3 linked regions of the Caenorhabditis elegans genome follow. The protein of the gene in region 3 interacts with the protein of the main gene of each other region in a pairwise test. Each region holds a gene or a part of one and is shown on either strand. Other genes may lie near its edges.

Region 1 (5,140 bases), on a different chromosome or scaffold from region 3:
TTCACTTTGGTCCGTGAAAACAAAGCTAAGATCTCGACGGCTGAGCAAAATATCAGAAAACTGGAGCCAGATGTGATTTCTGCAAAGAAAAAGTTAGTTTTTTGTAAATTTACTATACAACTAGTTGTACATATAATTTCAGTTTGGAAAGCTCTTTCCAGCTGAGAGTTCAAACAAGAGAAGACAAAAGAAGTCAAATGAAAATTTTGTCAAACCTGGAGGCAGAGGTTAGTAGACACAATTTGTGTAAAATTAATACAAAAAATTATTTTTTTGACCTAGCAATAGTTCTGGTGCAACAGTAAAATTTCCATTTTTCAAATTGTTTTTTTGAGTTCTCCGATTTCTCAAATCCAACAATTTACAGAATTCTTACATCAAACGTCTCACAACTGACTGTGAAGAAGAAAAAAGCCGTGTCCACTCTGAAATTTCGCGTCTCCGAAGTGATATCAAACGAGTGCATGCACTGCGAGACAAAGAACGCAGCAAGCACTCAAGTTCGTCTCAAGAGTTATTGAAGCGTCTTAACGGGTGCATTTCACAACACGACATTGCCATTCGAGAGGAAATTAGCAAGGCTAGACGTGACACAACAAACAAGAACAGGGACTATTTCCACAATGAGCTGCACGCGGCGATGAAAGAGATTCGAGACCGATTCGAGAAGGATTCACGTGCCGCCAGAAAGACATGGGAGGATTGGTATCACAAAAAGATCACGGAAATCAAGAAGGGATCCGAAAGCTATAGCTCAATACAAAACCAGGCAAGAGAAGAGATTCTTCGAATTAGGTCGATTGTCAACGAGTTCCGAGGAAAGCTTTCAGATTCTGAAACTATCGTGAGTTTGGGAGTTTGGGATCATTTGTTGAAACGTTATTGAATTCAGAATCAACAACTTATCAAACGAATCGACGACTTGCACTTCCAAGACAAGGAAAATCTAAGATTGTTCGAAATTGCACTCAATGAAAAAGAAAATCTAGTAATTAAAATGAGAGAGGAATGCACAAAACTTTCAGTGGAACTTGACAAATTAGTAGAGAACCAGATCGTATGTTCAAAATTTAAAGTTTTAAATTCACAAATTTGTAAATTCCTTAATAATTTCCAGAACTTGCGAAACGAAATCAACCATTACCGCAAACTAATGGAAAACGCTGAGCACCTCCGTACCACAGTTCAAACCCACGTGACCTATAATGCTCCACCGCCACCCTTGCCACAGTCAGGCCCTAGAACAACTTCCTACCACGCCTATGGTTCGGCATACAACGATTCCTTATTGTAACAACTTCGATTGTCATGTTTTTGTTAATTTTGAGTATTGTAATTTCACAATTTCAAACCACCCATGTTCAAATGTACGGCTTGAACTTGCAAAAGTTTGAAGAATTTATTTTTCTCAATTTTCATGTTATTTATATGTTTTATGAATTAACGAATAAAATGTTTTATTTTACTTTCTATGTAACCATTAATCGGATGAAGGTGGGGTGTTCAGTTTACCAATGTAGATCAAAAATAATTCAAAAAAATTTTTTTTGGTACTCTTTCCCTTTTTGTTTCTGAAACCTGATTATGAAGAAGATGTAGGCTTGATGATGGTTGAAAAAAGTGACGTCACTGGGGCAGGGTTTTCTACACTTTTTTCGAAACGCAAAAGCCTTTTTAGTTGTTCTTTATATAGCAGCTCTGGTGTTTTTTTTTTCTAGCAGGCGTATGTGATTTGAAGTTCCTCTTTGATCACTTTGAAATGTAATAATGTACTGATAAACTGTACACGTGAGGTCTTATGTATTTTGTTTGTTTGGCCACACTATACTAGGCAACAAAATTCCAGTTTCCGCTTTTTCTGACTATAAATCATTGGTTGGCAACTCAATATGCATTTTCTGCATTTCTGAAATTATTATAAATGCAATTTCTCAAAAAAAAAAACGGTTTTTTTATATTTTTAAATTTTGAAGTTTTGAACAGTATGAATTCTGAATTTAGTAGCAAATGCATTTTAAACTGTTCAAATTATTAGATATCACTTCCTGTTCTAGTTTTTTTTCAAAGTCTCATTTAGCCTACACTGTTGCGTCGTTATTGTTTTGTTCGTCATCTCCACTCAATGATTTTCTCCCCAAACTTCTGCGTCTCTCAAAACATGTTTTCGCGTACACAGTTGAAAATTTGAACTATTATTTTCAATTTTCAGATTGATCATGGCAAAACCGAAAGCACCAACCGAGGTATGTTAGGGTTTGTTTCAATTGCAATTTGAAAGATTTTTAGGGAACTCCTTTGTGCAACGTGGAGCATATCGAGTTTGAGTCAAGAGCAAATGATATAAAAGCAGGGCTCATTGATACTTTTCTGAATCTACAGAGAATCGATACCAATCTGTACATGTAAGTGTTGGAAAAATGATGTATTTTCAAATTTTGCTCAACAACATTTTGATTGGTGCTCGGAGACAGCTCAAACATTTTTCGGAACAGTCACTACAAAAATATCCTTAAAAGTGTAAAAAGTGTTCAGGCATGTGCATTATTAATAAAGTCTTTGACTCTGCTTATAATATATTTTTGAATGATGTGACATCACACGTCGCACAATTCCTGACTCGATCATCACAAAACATGAGAACATTAGATTTTCTTGCAGCGCTCGCCACTTGTTGAAGGGTCGTCATTCCTACAATGCCGTTTATGGCGGTCAGGTAAGAAAACTCAAATTTTCAATATAAACTTCCAAATCCTATATATCAGTTCCCACCGATCATCCTCAAATATTTAGGTTGTTGGTCAATCGTTGGCGGCAGCAGCTGCCACCGTGGAAGATTGTTTCATACCTCACTCATTACATAGCTATTTCATCAAGACGGGTCAGTTGATAACAGAAGACGGCAACTGTTGTGTTGTGTGTTTCAGGGAGTGTGGACAAACCGATTCTTTACATGATCGACCGCATTCGAGACGGAAGAAGTTTTTGTACGCGAGTGGTGAAGGCTGTGCAGGATGGAGAGGCAATTTTTTCTTGCCAAATTAGTTTCCATCATGTATGCTGGGGAAATGGAACAGAGAATAAAAAAAGAGATACTTTTCAGAAAGAACCCGATGCAATTAAACATAGCTCCAAAATGCCGGAAGTAACACCTCCAGAACAATTGCTTGTAGGTTGCTTCAAAACAATCAAGTTTTTCCATGCAGGCACCAAAACGCCTGCCACGCGCTTTCTGTATAGTGCCGCGACGGAAGAACCACCTTTGGCACTATTTGGTGCAAACATGAAGCCTTTGATTGTTCGCCATGGCGTAAAAATAAGGCGAGAGGCCGGCGTGAGGCGGGCAGGTTAGAGGCAGGCGTCACGTCCTGAAAACAGGCCCACCTCCCATGGAAGCTTGAAATATAACTAAAAAATATAATAACATTACACTGCAATTCTAGGTTTACTTTCCATTATTATATATTTTCCAGCCAGCTCGAGAAGCAGCGCTGGAAGTGCTCCGCACGAAAGAAGTCGATGAAGTCACCGCTGGTGTCATCCAACATTTTTTGAAAGAAATTCCAGATGCTTTTGAGCGAGTTTTTGATGTTCGCCCGGTCAACCCAGCCAAGTACTTGCTTAAAGAAGATACTGAGCCAATGTCGATGATTTGGATTCGAGCAAGAGAGAATTTGGGTTAGAAGTTCAAAATAATTCGTTTTCAATACTATGATTCAGGAGATGATCACCGTCTCCATCAGTGCGTCGCTGCTTACCTCACCGACTTGAGCATGCTCACCACGGCAGTACGACCTCATATCAGAAACGGATTCATCCCTTCAATGTCTTTTTCCCTGGATCATTGTATTTGGATGCATGAAAATGAGTTTCGAATCGATGATTGGATGCTGTATGAGACAATTAGCTCAAAAGCTGGTATAAAATTCTGTAAAATATTTTTTAAGAAATGGCGTTAAATTCTAGGTGGAAGTCGTGCATTTATTGAAGGCCGTTTATGGTCTCGTGATGGTCGACTTATCATTTCGACTGCTCAAGAAGCACTTGTCAGAGCTCCAAAAGTTTGACAATATTTGAATATTTTGTTTGGTTGTGTATATATATTCAATTTTGATAACTATAAAATGAATAAATGTTTAGAATTTTGAAAAGTAAGTACCAAGTTACTTAACAATAAATTAGTACCATCACCAGAAAGCCTGCATCTAAGATTCGAAGCTTTCAAGAAATCCGCGTTAGCGTAGTAAAACAATTTAGGAAAAAAAATACTAGCAGAAAACTGTTTCCCTAGTTTGAGAAGTTTCAGGACTGTGGTCTCGTTATGGTCTATTTATTGTCATTAAAAAATAAACATTTGTCATATAATTGAGCTCTATGAGCTCCCCATTTTGTTTTTTTAAATAAAGCCCGATCAATAATAAATGTACCAGAGATGTATTTGATACTCGCAGAGACATGTCCGATCGGTTGATAAATCGTTCTCCCTAAATTCCCCCACATCTCTGTTCCCCTCATGTTTTTTTGCATTCTTTACTGCACTTTTTGACATCCCTCACCCATCCCAGCTCCCCAAATTTTCATTCCTGTCTTTTCGACATGAACATCGTTACTTTCCTACTTTTCGGAATATTTCCACTTTCAGCTGCAATTTCTCCAATTAACCTGGAGAATTGTAATCCGGGAAGTTATTTTGTGGAAAACTATATCAAGTACCAATGCTATCAAAGTGGAAGTGTAAAGGGTTACAATATTGCTGGTGGGTTTTGAATTAGAAAATTAAAAAGAAAAAAAAATAAATTTTTAGGATGCCAACCATCGAATGATCTCACCGGTGTCACTTTGCAACAGTGGGAGACCCACAACGAAAAATGGTTCAAGTATCACTGTGTAATTGATGGAACTAATGCTCAGTACTCTGTGAAGAGTAAGTCAGGAGATTTTTGTTTGTTAGTCATGTACCCCTGTTTAAAATTTTGGCTAACTGGTAATCTAATACACAAAACGCAGTTACATAACTTTGCAGCCTGCCTCGACCCCGTAGGAGAAGTTCTACCAGTCGGAAAAACCCGCTCGTTCCCAGATGGAGAAACATTTACATGCTTCATAGAACGCAACAAGGTCAAGCTGAATCACCAAACAAGTG
Region 2 (5,372 bases), on a different chromosome or scaffold from region 3:
ATATACCAAAAAATCAGACGATCTTAGGCATATTCTCTGAAATCTCTCACTTTTCCTATTTCTTTTCTTTACGTTCGGCTTCATCTTGTTGCGTAATTGTAGACACTGTCTCCTCCTCTTCACGAACAGTTATTATTATTGTGGTGTGCTTGGCTTGTAAAAAAGGTGTTTGTGTAGAGTACTTCCTACCTTTCGTCTTCTTTCTAGAAGTGTATACACATGATGATATCTTTCTTCATGGATTTTAGTAGTACTGTGTGTCTGTGTCAATATACCTCCTTCCGGACGGATGGCCATTTATTATATTCTTTCATCATAAAAGGTCATATGAGGTGTCGATTATAGGGTTTAAATGAATAGAAAGTTCTTCTTCAAAGACAAGTCTTAGTACGGATGAGGACTAGAGCCTTTAGTTTTTTTCTCTGTTGAAGATTTTGTTTGAAAGTTTTCACTTTCCGTTGAAAATCGAAACCAAATGTTAACCATGTGGTGGTCTGTAGATAATTTATGTCCCTCTACGGTTTTTATCACCTTTGTTTATTATCACTGATCGTTGTAATTAGGCCACGGTTTTTATGTTGCTTCTTCTTCTTCCTTCCTTTGAAATTTTTTTTTGAAAATAGTTGTTAAAAACCTGTTAAGATCTTTTTTATCGATACTATGTATACCACCGTGTTTACCATACGACTTTGAGAAGGAGGTAAATGTTGATTTTTAGTTTATAAATGATCTTTACCATGGGGGAATGTAGAAGGAGTAAAATGTGTTGTATACATTGGAATTTTAGTATGATATGTGGATTTTTTGGTTTTGAAATTCTAAGTTGGCAGTTAAAAGTAGTTAAAATTTTGGATAATGTGAAAGCTTTTAAATTCAACAGACCCTCAAGCTTCCTATGCTTCTCATATTCAAAAACACCTCTCTATTTTTGTACATTGCAACTTTTTTGAATTTTAGGACTTGATGGAGTGCTACATATTCCCATATTGGGACTACTGTTTTTGATGGTTTCAGACAAATCCAAAACTTTTCAACTATTAAAATATCTGAATTCAAAGAAATATGTGTTTTCCTGCCACCATCTCATGTTCACGATGTTTAGTATAGTTTCTTTTAACAACTATATTTACAAAATTGTTCTATAAATATTTGTGCTCATCTCTGGTCCATTAACTCTTCTGCTCTATTGGGTTGTCAGTTTTTTTTTCCAAAAATATTTATTTTTTCTTGTTTTTGTCCATTATTTCCATCAATTTCCTTCCATCAATCCACTCTCAACACTTCCTTCAATAGTATAGTTTCCACACCTTTTCGGCAAATAAAACACACAGACACCATCCAAAAAATTCGGAAGACTTTGTGTTGCCACGTCATCTTTTTGATCGGAAATGGTTCAACGCGAGCTGTTGCTCAAGTGTCTATTGAGAAGAGTGTGTTGTGTCGGAAGAAAATACGCTTGAAATTTCTGTCCGATTTTCAATTTCGATTGCTTATGAGTGTGAGCATTATGGATTAATTTGCTCCAGTTTCTGTCTTTTTTCCGTTTGGTCAATTTCGATGCAAAATGAATGAGTTTTCTGTGACCAAAAAGTTGATAAAGGGTTAATTTTTCATTGTTCCTTAAAGTTTTGCGCTCTAGATATTTTTGAAAATGATCCTTTCTTGTTTTATTTTTAGCCAATAATTGCTCTATCAAATTTATTGAAAATTTATTTTCAAAATTCAAAATACTTGTATCCCCCACTTTCATTCTTAATCCAATTTCTGTCACATCCGTTTCTCATCAAAAATAAAAACGAAAAGTTTTTCTCTCACCTTTGTCATTCTTTTACTAAAACTTCCTCCTTTACCATTTTTTTAAATCAGAAAGTTCCAGGTAGCCAATACAAAAATCAAACATATTTATTTTTGAATTATCAAGTTTTATCACTTGATAATTTTAAATTGCAAAAATAGCGACTTCAATTGACAAACCACAATCAAGGCATTCGTCAAGGATGACGGCAAGACCATATGAGCCACCACCGGATTATGTGAGTTTTTAAAAAAATTTTAAATACTGGTTATCTTCTGTATTTACTGGATATATAACCAAAATTTTGTAAGGCATTTGTTAACTACACTTTTTAAAATAAAAAAATAATTAGATTAATATTGTCAGAACTGTAAACTTTTAAAAAGTTAGATATTTCCCATTACTGTAATTTTTGGAAAAAATCTAACATTTCTGGAACTTTTCGCCTGTAAGGTTATTATGTTTTTTTTATTCGAGAATGTTTTGAAAAATTCAATACTCCGTCTTGTAAAGCGGTTTCAAACCCCACGTTCACGTTCACGTCCACGTTCAGTATTGACCAAATATTAGTATTATAATTGCTCGATGTGGCAGTTGAAGTTTAAACTGTTCTAGAAAAAGTTTAAAATATACCGAAAAAGTGAAGCAAAAAAAAGTTATTGATGGGTTTAATTTTTTGGTAAAACTGACTATGTCGGCATACGATTTTTTCAACAAATGTTCAACCTTTCCCCCCAGCTTTTTCTCTTCTTTTTGCAACTTTTTCATGTTTATTTACACAATAATATGTGCTCTTTTTCTATATTCTTGCTTTCCCGCGCACTCTCATTTGACAGTAGTATGTTCATTTTCAATTCTTCACACCAAAAAACTGGTTTTCCCGCAAGCGGTATCTTTTCTTGTTGCCGCTGTGGGAGCCGACCCGGCAATGACTTTTGGCACCTGTTGAAGCATACTTTTTCAACTGTCTTTGTGTGCATGCAGACTATGAACTCCACTTGAAAATTCATATCGGATTTCGATAGGATAATCAGGTTGGTGTGGGTAAACGTCTTAGGTTTTTTAGGGAAAATTAAAAAATTATAACTTCTTTAAAAAAACGTATTTTTAAACTTAAAACTTTAAAGATCGTGTGTGTAGAAACACTCAGTTTATTGACTTTTTCAAAAGATTAATTATATTTAAATAGTCGCAAGATGATGTAGTCATAGAATGCAAGAGACATATAGAGAGCACGCAGAGAAAGTCGCAGTTTTGATATTTCTCGGGGTGTTATCAAAACATTTTTCCTTTTTTCTCCTTTTTTTTCAAGAAGCCCCTATTTTTTTGAAAATTCATTATTTTGATCAAAGCGGTGACATTCTCAAAAAAGGATGCCTTCTTTTTAAATTTTTTTATAAAAAATTTCTCTGTGAGCTCTGTATCATCTGTTTTTATCCACAGTTTCTCATAATTGACGGCTGTGCTTAGAATCTGACAAACTGGTACCAGACTACTAGATCTTCTTTTTCCTCCGTTTTCTCTTCATTTTAGATTCCTAGCAGATTAAGATTGAATCATCAAATTAGTGAAGTGAAACCGTTGCTAATTGTCTGAAACAATTTGTTTACTGGCAGCTTGCGAAATAGTTTTTTTTGGCTTTGGCTTTTTTGGCTTGAATCAGTTTTGGATAATGTCAAAAAAATTTTGCCGCTTTGAAATTAAAGACAATAAAATTTTAACAAGACGATTTGTCTGAAGGTTACAGAGAATGACAAAAGGAGAATTTTTAAAATTCAATTTTCTTTTCTAATAGAGAACGTACTCAAAACTTCAATGATATCATATTATTGACCCTATCCGATGTTACAGAAAATTCTGTTTGTACAAGATATCCAGATGTCATATGAACTTTATCGCGTCATTTTTTCTCACCCAACTCCCAATTGTTTGCGTTTATAGATTTTTTTATTTTTTAATCAAGACATTCTAACATCACTTGGTTTTTGATAGTTTATCTAAGTTGGATATTTTTGATAAGAGCCTATATACATATATGAATAATATTTGAACATTTTGAACGCTTAGTGAATTGTTTGTGCATAAATTAAAAACATATCGGAAATTATTTTGCTAAATGCTTTTTTTGTTCTCGAGAATCACTTTCCTCGCGAGTCATCATCATCAGAATCGTAAAAGATATATCAAATATCCGGTGTCGTTTTCTTTTCGAACTTTCTCCTCCTCCTCCTACCTCCATCACTATTCCAATTATCACAAAGGAACGATGAAGCGTTTTTTTTTTGTGTTGAAAATGGCCTCTCTCCTCCGATTGACGACCTTATGGCTGCGTGTGGATCATCTTGTTCCCCTATTGAATTATCCTGAAAGACGACGAGAACATTGATTCAGAATGAAAGAAGGAGGTTTGAACAACTATCTCAAGATGTGTTAGGCTTATTCTTTCAACTTGAATGATCTTGATTTGCACTTTTTCTTTGGAGACCGTTTTTTGGCATTTCTTGTACGCATTGTTCTCGTTGCAATACGTTTAATATCACAGATACCAGTGCTCACGAATGTGACGGGAAAAGTGTTAGTTTCCCAAATATGTTCACTTCTTTTCTACATTTGACAATGTTTTTCTAGTACTAGGTAGAAATAAGATATGAACCATCAAACGTCTCTTCAATAACATTCGTCTATTTGTGCAAATTTTGAATGCTTTCAATTTTAAATTGCTTTCTGTAATTCTTTGGTTTTTCGAAAAGAAGACCAATTATTAATTTTGAACCAGCTGAGAATTTAACCTAGAAATATTTGAAATTCTTCGTCGATATAGTTTTTACATCTCCCCTCGATTGCAACTTATCCAAAATGTGTTCTTCCAAAAAAATGCTTATCATTTCCTTTTCTCATGAATTCCAATCCAGTGTTTTTTCATCTTCCTCCTCCTTCTTTCCCTGTTTTTGTGTAGCTTCCTCTCTGATTTCTCCCATTGATAGTATCGGCTAATAACCCTATCATTTTTGCTTCCCAGTTCACCTTCTTCCGTTCGTCCACCTTTTGGATGCTTACCCGAAAAGATCTCATCATCTACGCATGATTTATGACATACCCCACACACAACTTCTAAAACCAAAACGCCCAATTTACATAGATAATCATTAATGTCTCATGGCTACTTACAGCTTGATGACCACCGGAAGTTTATTTTACTTTTTATTGTTAACTTACAATTATAGAGTTACGTCTGCTATATTTACACATATATGTAGGTGCCAAATTATACAATTTTTGTTTTAGTGGAAAAATTATCAGAACCCCCAAAAATTCACTTTGCAATCCATTCTATTCACTTTAATATTTGAACCTTATCTAAACTCTTCATACGTTCTTCTGAATTTTGCAACATTTTCGACCTCTTTGTTCTCGTAGATCAAAACTGATATTCTTTATTATTGATAAAGACCAATACGAATCGGCTAACGAAAACACACGCACAGTTTCTCACAATCAAAACCCGAGGCAACAGCATTCACCGGATGATTCCCAGCAGTTTTGTTGTGTATGTCCGAAACGATAAATCTTCCGAATT
Region 3 (5,705 bases):
TTCGCCCAAAAAAATGTGACGTCAGCACGTTCTTAACCATAAAAAATCAGCTGAGAACTCTGCGTCTCTTCTCCCGCATTTTGTGTAGATCTACGTAGATCAAGCCGAAATGAGACACTCCCACACCACGTGAAAATTAAAAATTCAATTTTAAGTAAGGGCTTATCCTCGAGACAATACACCATAATTAACGCGCGAAATTCCAAAAAAAAACTTCATTTTGGCGGAATTTTCAGGAAGTCGTTAATTTTTCCAACCATATTTAAATATTAATTTGAAAAATTTGAGGAATTCGAATTTTAAGTACCCTAATTTTCTTGTGAAAGTGGGCGGAGTCTAAATACCATAATTGACGCGCAAAATTTTGTAAAACTGAATACATAGAATTTCGCGGCATTTTTTTTTGTTTTTTGAAAAAGTTGAACACCGAGCCAAATTTTTAGTATAACAATTATTTTGAAAATTATATTACTAAATTACCAAAAAATTTTCCACGGAGTTCTGGTCTTCCTCGTTGAACTTTTCGCGCTCCATTGACAACCGCCTGCCGGATAACGCGTGGGAAAGTCGTGTACTCCACACGGACAAATACATTTAGTTTTACAACTAAAATCGAGCCGCGACGCGACACGCAACGCGCCGTAAATCTACCCCAGGTATGGTAGAGCCAAGATGGCCTAGTTCGGCAAAAACTCTTTTATTTCAATATATGAGGGAAGCCAGAAATCCGTGAATTTTTATTCAATTTTTTTTTTCAAAATTTTTTGTTTCAAAAAAAAAACGAAAAATTTAAAACAATTCAAATATCCTTTGAGGGCGGTAAACTTCAAAATTTAAAAAAATTTCTCAATTTTTGAATTTTAGGTTATATAACCGGTTATAAGAATTTAAAATTAAAATTCTTTTAGAAAAAAAAATATTGCAACAAAAAAAAAAAAAAAAACTTCCTCCGAGTAATAATAATTGGCAAAAAAAAAGAAAAAAAGAAGAAGCCCGGAGGAGCAGGAGCTGGTACTTGTCCCATTAATTTTCCTTTTTTTCTTCAAACAATAAAAAACAGCTGAATTTTACGGCAAAACTGCTCTAAAAATGTAAAATTTCATTGAAAAAGTAGGCGCAGCCAATACACCATGTGGTGTTTTGGCGCTGTCTCCACACGCAAGTAGTGCCAGGGGCTGTCCCAATACGGTTTGATCTACAAAAAATGCGGGAATTTTTCGCCCAAAAAAATGTGACGTCAGCACGTTCTTAACCATGCAAAATCAGTTGAAAACTATGCGTCTCTTCTCCCGCATTTTTTGTAGATCAACGTAGATCAAACCGAAATAAGAGACACTCTGACACCACGTGTACACGTTTAAACTTTTCCAGCTGTAAAAAATAAAATTTTCAAAAAAAAAACATAATTTTTAATCACATGTCTTGTTATCACTGTGTTATCTGTTATCACAACGACAATTTTTTTCACGAAAATTCTTTATTTTTAGGTATTACCCAAAATATTTGAATAAATTCCAAAACTTTCCGTGTTCTCCGTCCTCCATTTCCCACTTTCACAAATGGTCCATCATCCGAACTTCCGGTGCTCTCTCTCTCGCTGTACAAGAGACACAGAAAACCGAGAGAGAGACAGTGATTCGTGGTAGAGACGCAGACACATATACACACACACAGAAAAGTGATCTGGTGTCTGTGTGTGTGTGTGTATATTGTGAGAAAGAAGAAGAAGAAGACTGCGTGGGTGTAATAATATGCGTCCTTTTCTCCCCCCTTCTCTTTCGATTTCTTTTCTTCAACTTTTATCACTTTATTCACAACCTATTTCCTACCGTTTACCACCTTTTTTTTTGAGGAAACTTTGAATTTTTATTGAAATTGTTCAAGCTTGATTCCACGGAGTTGAAATCTACCAAATTCAAATTCCACTGCCTTCCCCGGGTTTTTTTTCCATTTCGATGGGTTTTTTAAAAAGGAATTAAAAAAAACGTTTTGTTTTCAAATTAAAAATTTAAAAAATAGACTGAAAATTAGCAAAACTGGGATTAATCCCACGGAGTTGAAATCTACGGAGTTCACTTTCCACTGCCTCCTCCGGATTTTGTATTTTTTAAACATTTTCTAGTACTTTTCGATGAAACTTTGCATTTTTTCACCTAAAATTAAAAAAAAAGTTTTCTAATTAGCTGAAAACGATAAAAATAAGAAAAAAAAAACATTTGCGGAGTTGATATCTATGGAATTCACATTCCAAAATCAGGCCAAGACAATTAAATATTGTTTTTTTTTAGCTTCCAGCGCAAATTTTCGAATTTCCAAACAAAATTTTGGTTTAAAACTCTAATTTTCTACCTGAAAATCAGGTTTTTTCATCGAAAATCATCGAAAATTAATTAAAATTCAAATTTCCCTCCATTTCCCCAGTACGTACACCGTCACGCAAAATTGCGTACCCGTCCGATTTTTCGCATTTTTTTGAATTTGTTTTCCTGTTTTTTGATGAAAATCAATAATTTTTTGGCATTTTTCAGGTGCAAATGAAAAGTTATGCACTCAAGCGAGAATACTACACCTAACAGCAGCACGGAAGGGCCATTGTTTCTAAAAGTGAGGGCGAAACAAGTGAAAATCGAGGAAAAAAAGGAAAAATTAGAAAAAATTAGAAAAATACCATTTATATTATTTATTTTCATCGAAAATCAATTATATTTACAGTTTAAAATATTCTAAAAAATCCTAAGTTAAAAAAAAGGAATTGTTTTTTCGCAGACTCACACGAACCCAACACCGCCTGATATATCGCCAAACGATGTGTGGTACCATGGGGAATTAAACGAACACGATGCCAATCATTTGCTTCAGGTTTCTTTTGCGAAAAATTACAAAAAAAATGGCAAAAAATGGCAAAAAACCGGCAAAACATTCCAGGGCACATCTCCCGGCGCGTTTTTGGTTCGGCAAACTGGCCAGACGAGATTTTATCTGTCGATATTGGATCAAGACGGCTATCCGAAACATTTACCGTTGGTTTTTAAACATAAAAATTTAAAATTCAAATTTTTTTCAGCATCCGCCAACTCACCCCACCTCACTACTTTTTCGAAGGAAAGCGTTTCGAGACCCTTCGAGATATTGTAGATGCCTATCAGCTGGCTGTGATTCCAGTTCGAAAAGGAGGAATTATGCCGATTAATGGGGTATTTTTTTGCCCCATTACGGTTTGATCTACAAAAAATGCGGGAATTTTTCGCCCAAAAACATGCCAAATCAGTTGAGAACTCTGCCGCATTTTTTGTAGATCAACTTTATTCAAGCCAAAATAAGACACTCTGACACCACGTGTGATACACCATATTTGACGCGCAAATTTTTGCATTATTGGATAATTTGTTGGATTTTAAAGTGATTTTTCAGAGAAAAAAAAGAAATTTATAATATTGCGCGTAAAATAGAGTGTCTTGAGTCTGTAATCGAGTAGATCAAATTTAACGCGCAAATTTAATTTAAAAAAACAATTAAATTACTCCATGTCTTACGAAAACACAAAATTCTGAGAATGTGTATCACACAACATATTTGACGCGCAAAATATCTCGTAGCGAAAACTACAGTAACCCTTTAATTGACTACTGTAGCGCTTGTGTCGATTTACGGAAGTCAATTATTAATCAATAAAATTAAATTTTAAAAGAAATCTCAAAAATGGCAAAAAAATACAATTCTCATTGGTTTTTTCGTTATTTTTTGCCATTTTTGTGTTTTCTTTTAAAATTTAATTTTATAGATTAATAAATGATTTCCGTAAATCGACGCAAGAGCGCTACAGTAATCATTTAAAGGGTTACTGTAGTTTTCGCTACGAGATATTTTGCGCGTCAAATATGTTGTGTAATACGCATTCTCAGAATTTAGTCTTCCCGTAATAATTTATAATTTGTGCGTCAAATATGACGAATTGGTCAGAATATCGATATACACGAATATAAAGTTTTGTAGAATTATCTGTAATAGTAGTAGTTTTTGCGCGTAAAATATGGTGTATTGAGTCCGTAATCGAGTAGATCAAATTTAACGCGCAAACATGTCCACGTGGTCTCATTTCGGTTTGATCTACTTAGATCTACAAAAAATGCGGCAGAGTTTTCAACTGATTTTGCAAAAAATTCCCGCATTTTTTGTAGATCAAAACGTAATGGGACAGTCGCTGGCACCCCGTGCATGCCGGAATTTTAATATACCATAAAATTTGTTTCCAGGAAATCCAAGAAACCAAGTACCTATGCGTTAGACGATTCGAACAACGCGAAATCGACGAAATGAACTCGGAAATCGGTGATATTCTGTCAGTTTGTGAGACCGACGAGACCGGATGGATGTTAGGACGAAATGAGACGAGCGGTTCCGTTGGAATTATTTTAAGATCACATTTGGAACCTTTGGTAGGGAAAAGTAGGAAAGACTGGAAATTTCTAACTGAAAATTTGAAAATTCTAGGAAAAAACTGATGAAAAATTACAATTTTTAAGCAAAAAAATGTTACGTTTTTTTTCACAATTTTCTACAAAAAATTTAAAAAATTAATTAAAAAAGGCGAAATTGTGCTAATATTACGGGAACACAAAATTCTGAGAATGCGTATTGCACAACATATTTGACGCGCAAAACATAAAAATATCTCGTAGCGAAAACTACAGTAACCCTTTAATTGACTACTGTAGCGCTTGTATCGATTTACGGAAGTCATTTATTAATCAATAAAATTAAATTTTAAAAGAAAACACAAAAATGGCAAAAAAAAATTACGAAATGTCATTTTTGAGTTTTCTTTTAAAATTTAATTTTATTGATTAATAAATGATTTCCGTAAATTGACACAAGCGCTACAGTAGTCAATTAAAGGGTTACTGTAGTTTTCGCTAAGAGATATTTTTATGTTTTGCGCGTCAAATATGTTGTGCAATACGCATTTTCAGAATTTTGTGTTCCCGTAATATCTAATGTAGGCTTTGGCGTACCAAATACACTTATTTTGGTACAAAATCGCGGCGAGACCCATTTATAAATTGCCTACCTAATGCCTGCCTGCTGAAAAAAAAAACAAAAAAATTTTTTTTTTTTGGTCCAAGCTGGATTTCTCCAATTTATTAACACTATTTGAGAAAATCGATAAATCTCGATTTTCGGGGGCAGAAAAATCAATAAATTAACACTATTCAAGAAAATCAATAATTTGCCAAATTTTTGGAAAATTCGATAATTCACGTGGTGTCAGATTGTCCCATTACGGTTTGATCTACAAAAAATGCGGGAATTTTTTTTCCAAAAAAATGTGGCTTCTTCAGCACGCTCTTAACCATGCGAAATCAGTTGAGAGCTCTGCCGCTTTTTTTTGTAGATCAGCGTAGATCAAGAGACACTCTACAACACCGCGTGAAATTCTCAGATTCCGTGCTTTTACAGATCACAGAGGTGGCCGATTTGTCGGATCTACCGTACTTCTACGATACAGTATCCACGGACATGGTGCAATACAGCCCCATTGGCACATTTCTGCTGCGTCGATCGTCTAAAGGAACAGATACCTATGCACTGCTAGTCAAAACTCAATTCGATTTGGTCGAAAAATTCCTAATTGTTGGATGTCCGTCGAGAGGGTTTAGCCTTGCTGGTAGACCATTTCCCACTATTGGACATGTTCTTACAAGGTA

The links.
Region 1: the proteins of gap-3 (region 3) and F25E2.3 interact in a two-hybrid assay, tested with the Caenorhabditis elegans proteins (one large-scale study listed by BioGRID).
Region 2: the proteins of gap-3 (region 3) and C05D10.4 interact in a two-hybrid assay, tested with the Caenorhabditis elegans proteins (one large-scale study listed by BioGRID).

The regions. Positions count from the first base shown.
Region 1 is NC_003284.9:810,177-815,316, reverse strand, and holds F25E2.3 (Acyl-CoA thioesterase II), read left to right. Parts: upstream 1-2,199; 5' UTR 2,200-2,216; coding exon 2,217-2,243; intron 2,244-2,286; coding exon 2,287-2,402; intron 2,403-2,658; coding exon 2,659-2,713; intron 2,714-2,790; coding exon 2,791-2,878; intron 2,879-2,924; coding exon 2,925-3,052; intron 3,053-3,100; coding exon 3,101-3,166; intron 3,167-3,470; coding exon 3,471-3,675; intron 3,676-3,717; coding exon 3,718-3,915; intron 3,916-3,963; coding exon 3,964-4,064; 3' UTR 4,065-4,144; downstream 4,145-5,140. Other genes in the region: Intermediate filament protein ifd-2, read left to right, coding at 1-92, 143-227, 368-844, 893-1,057, 1,118-1,294; F25E2.2 (Abnormal cell migration protein 18-like fibronectin type I domain-containing protein), read left to right, coding at 4,594-4,753, 4,802-4,921, 5,021-5,137.
Region 2 is NC_003281.10:6,099,367-6,104,738, reverse strand, and holds the start of C05D10.4 (SAM domain-containing protein), read left to right. Parts: upstream 1-1,876; 5' UTR 1,877-1,997; coding exon 1,998-2,033; intron 2,034-3,308; exon of another isoform or gene 3,309-3,329; intron 3,330-5,372.
Region 3 is NC_003279.8:2,007,319-2,013,023, reverse strand, and holds the start of gap-3 (SH2 domain-containing protein), read left to right. Parts: upstream 1-2,498; 5' UTR 2,499-2,544; coding exon 2,545-2,604; intron 2,605-2,766; coding exon 2,767-2,859; intron 2,860-2,925; coding exon 2,926-3,020; intron 3,021-3,064; coding exon 3,065-3,194; intron 3,195-4,253; coding exon 4,254-4,436; intron 4,437-5,457; coding exon 5,458-5,702; intron 5,703-5,705.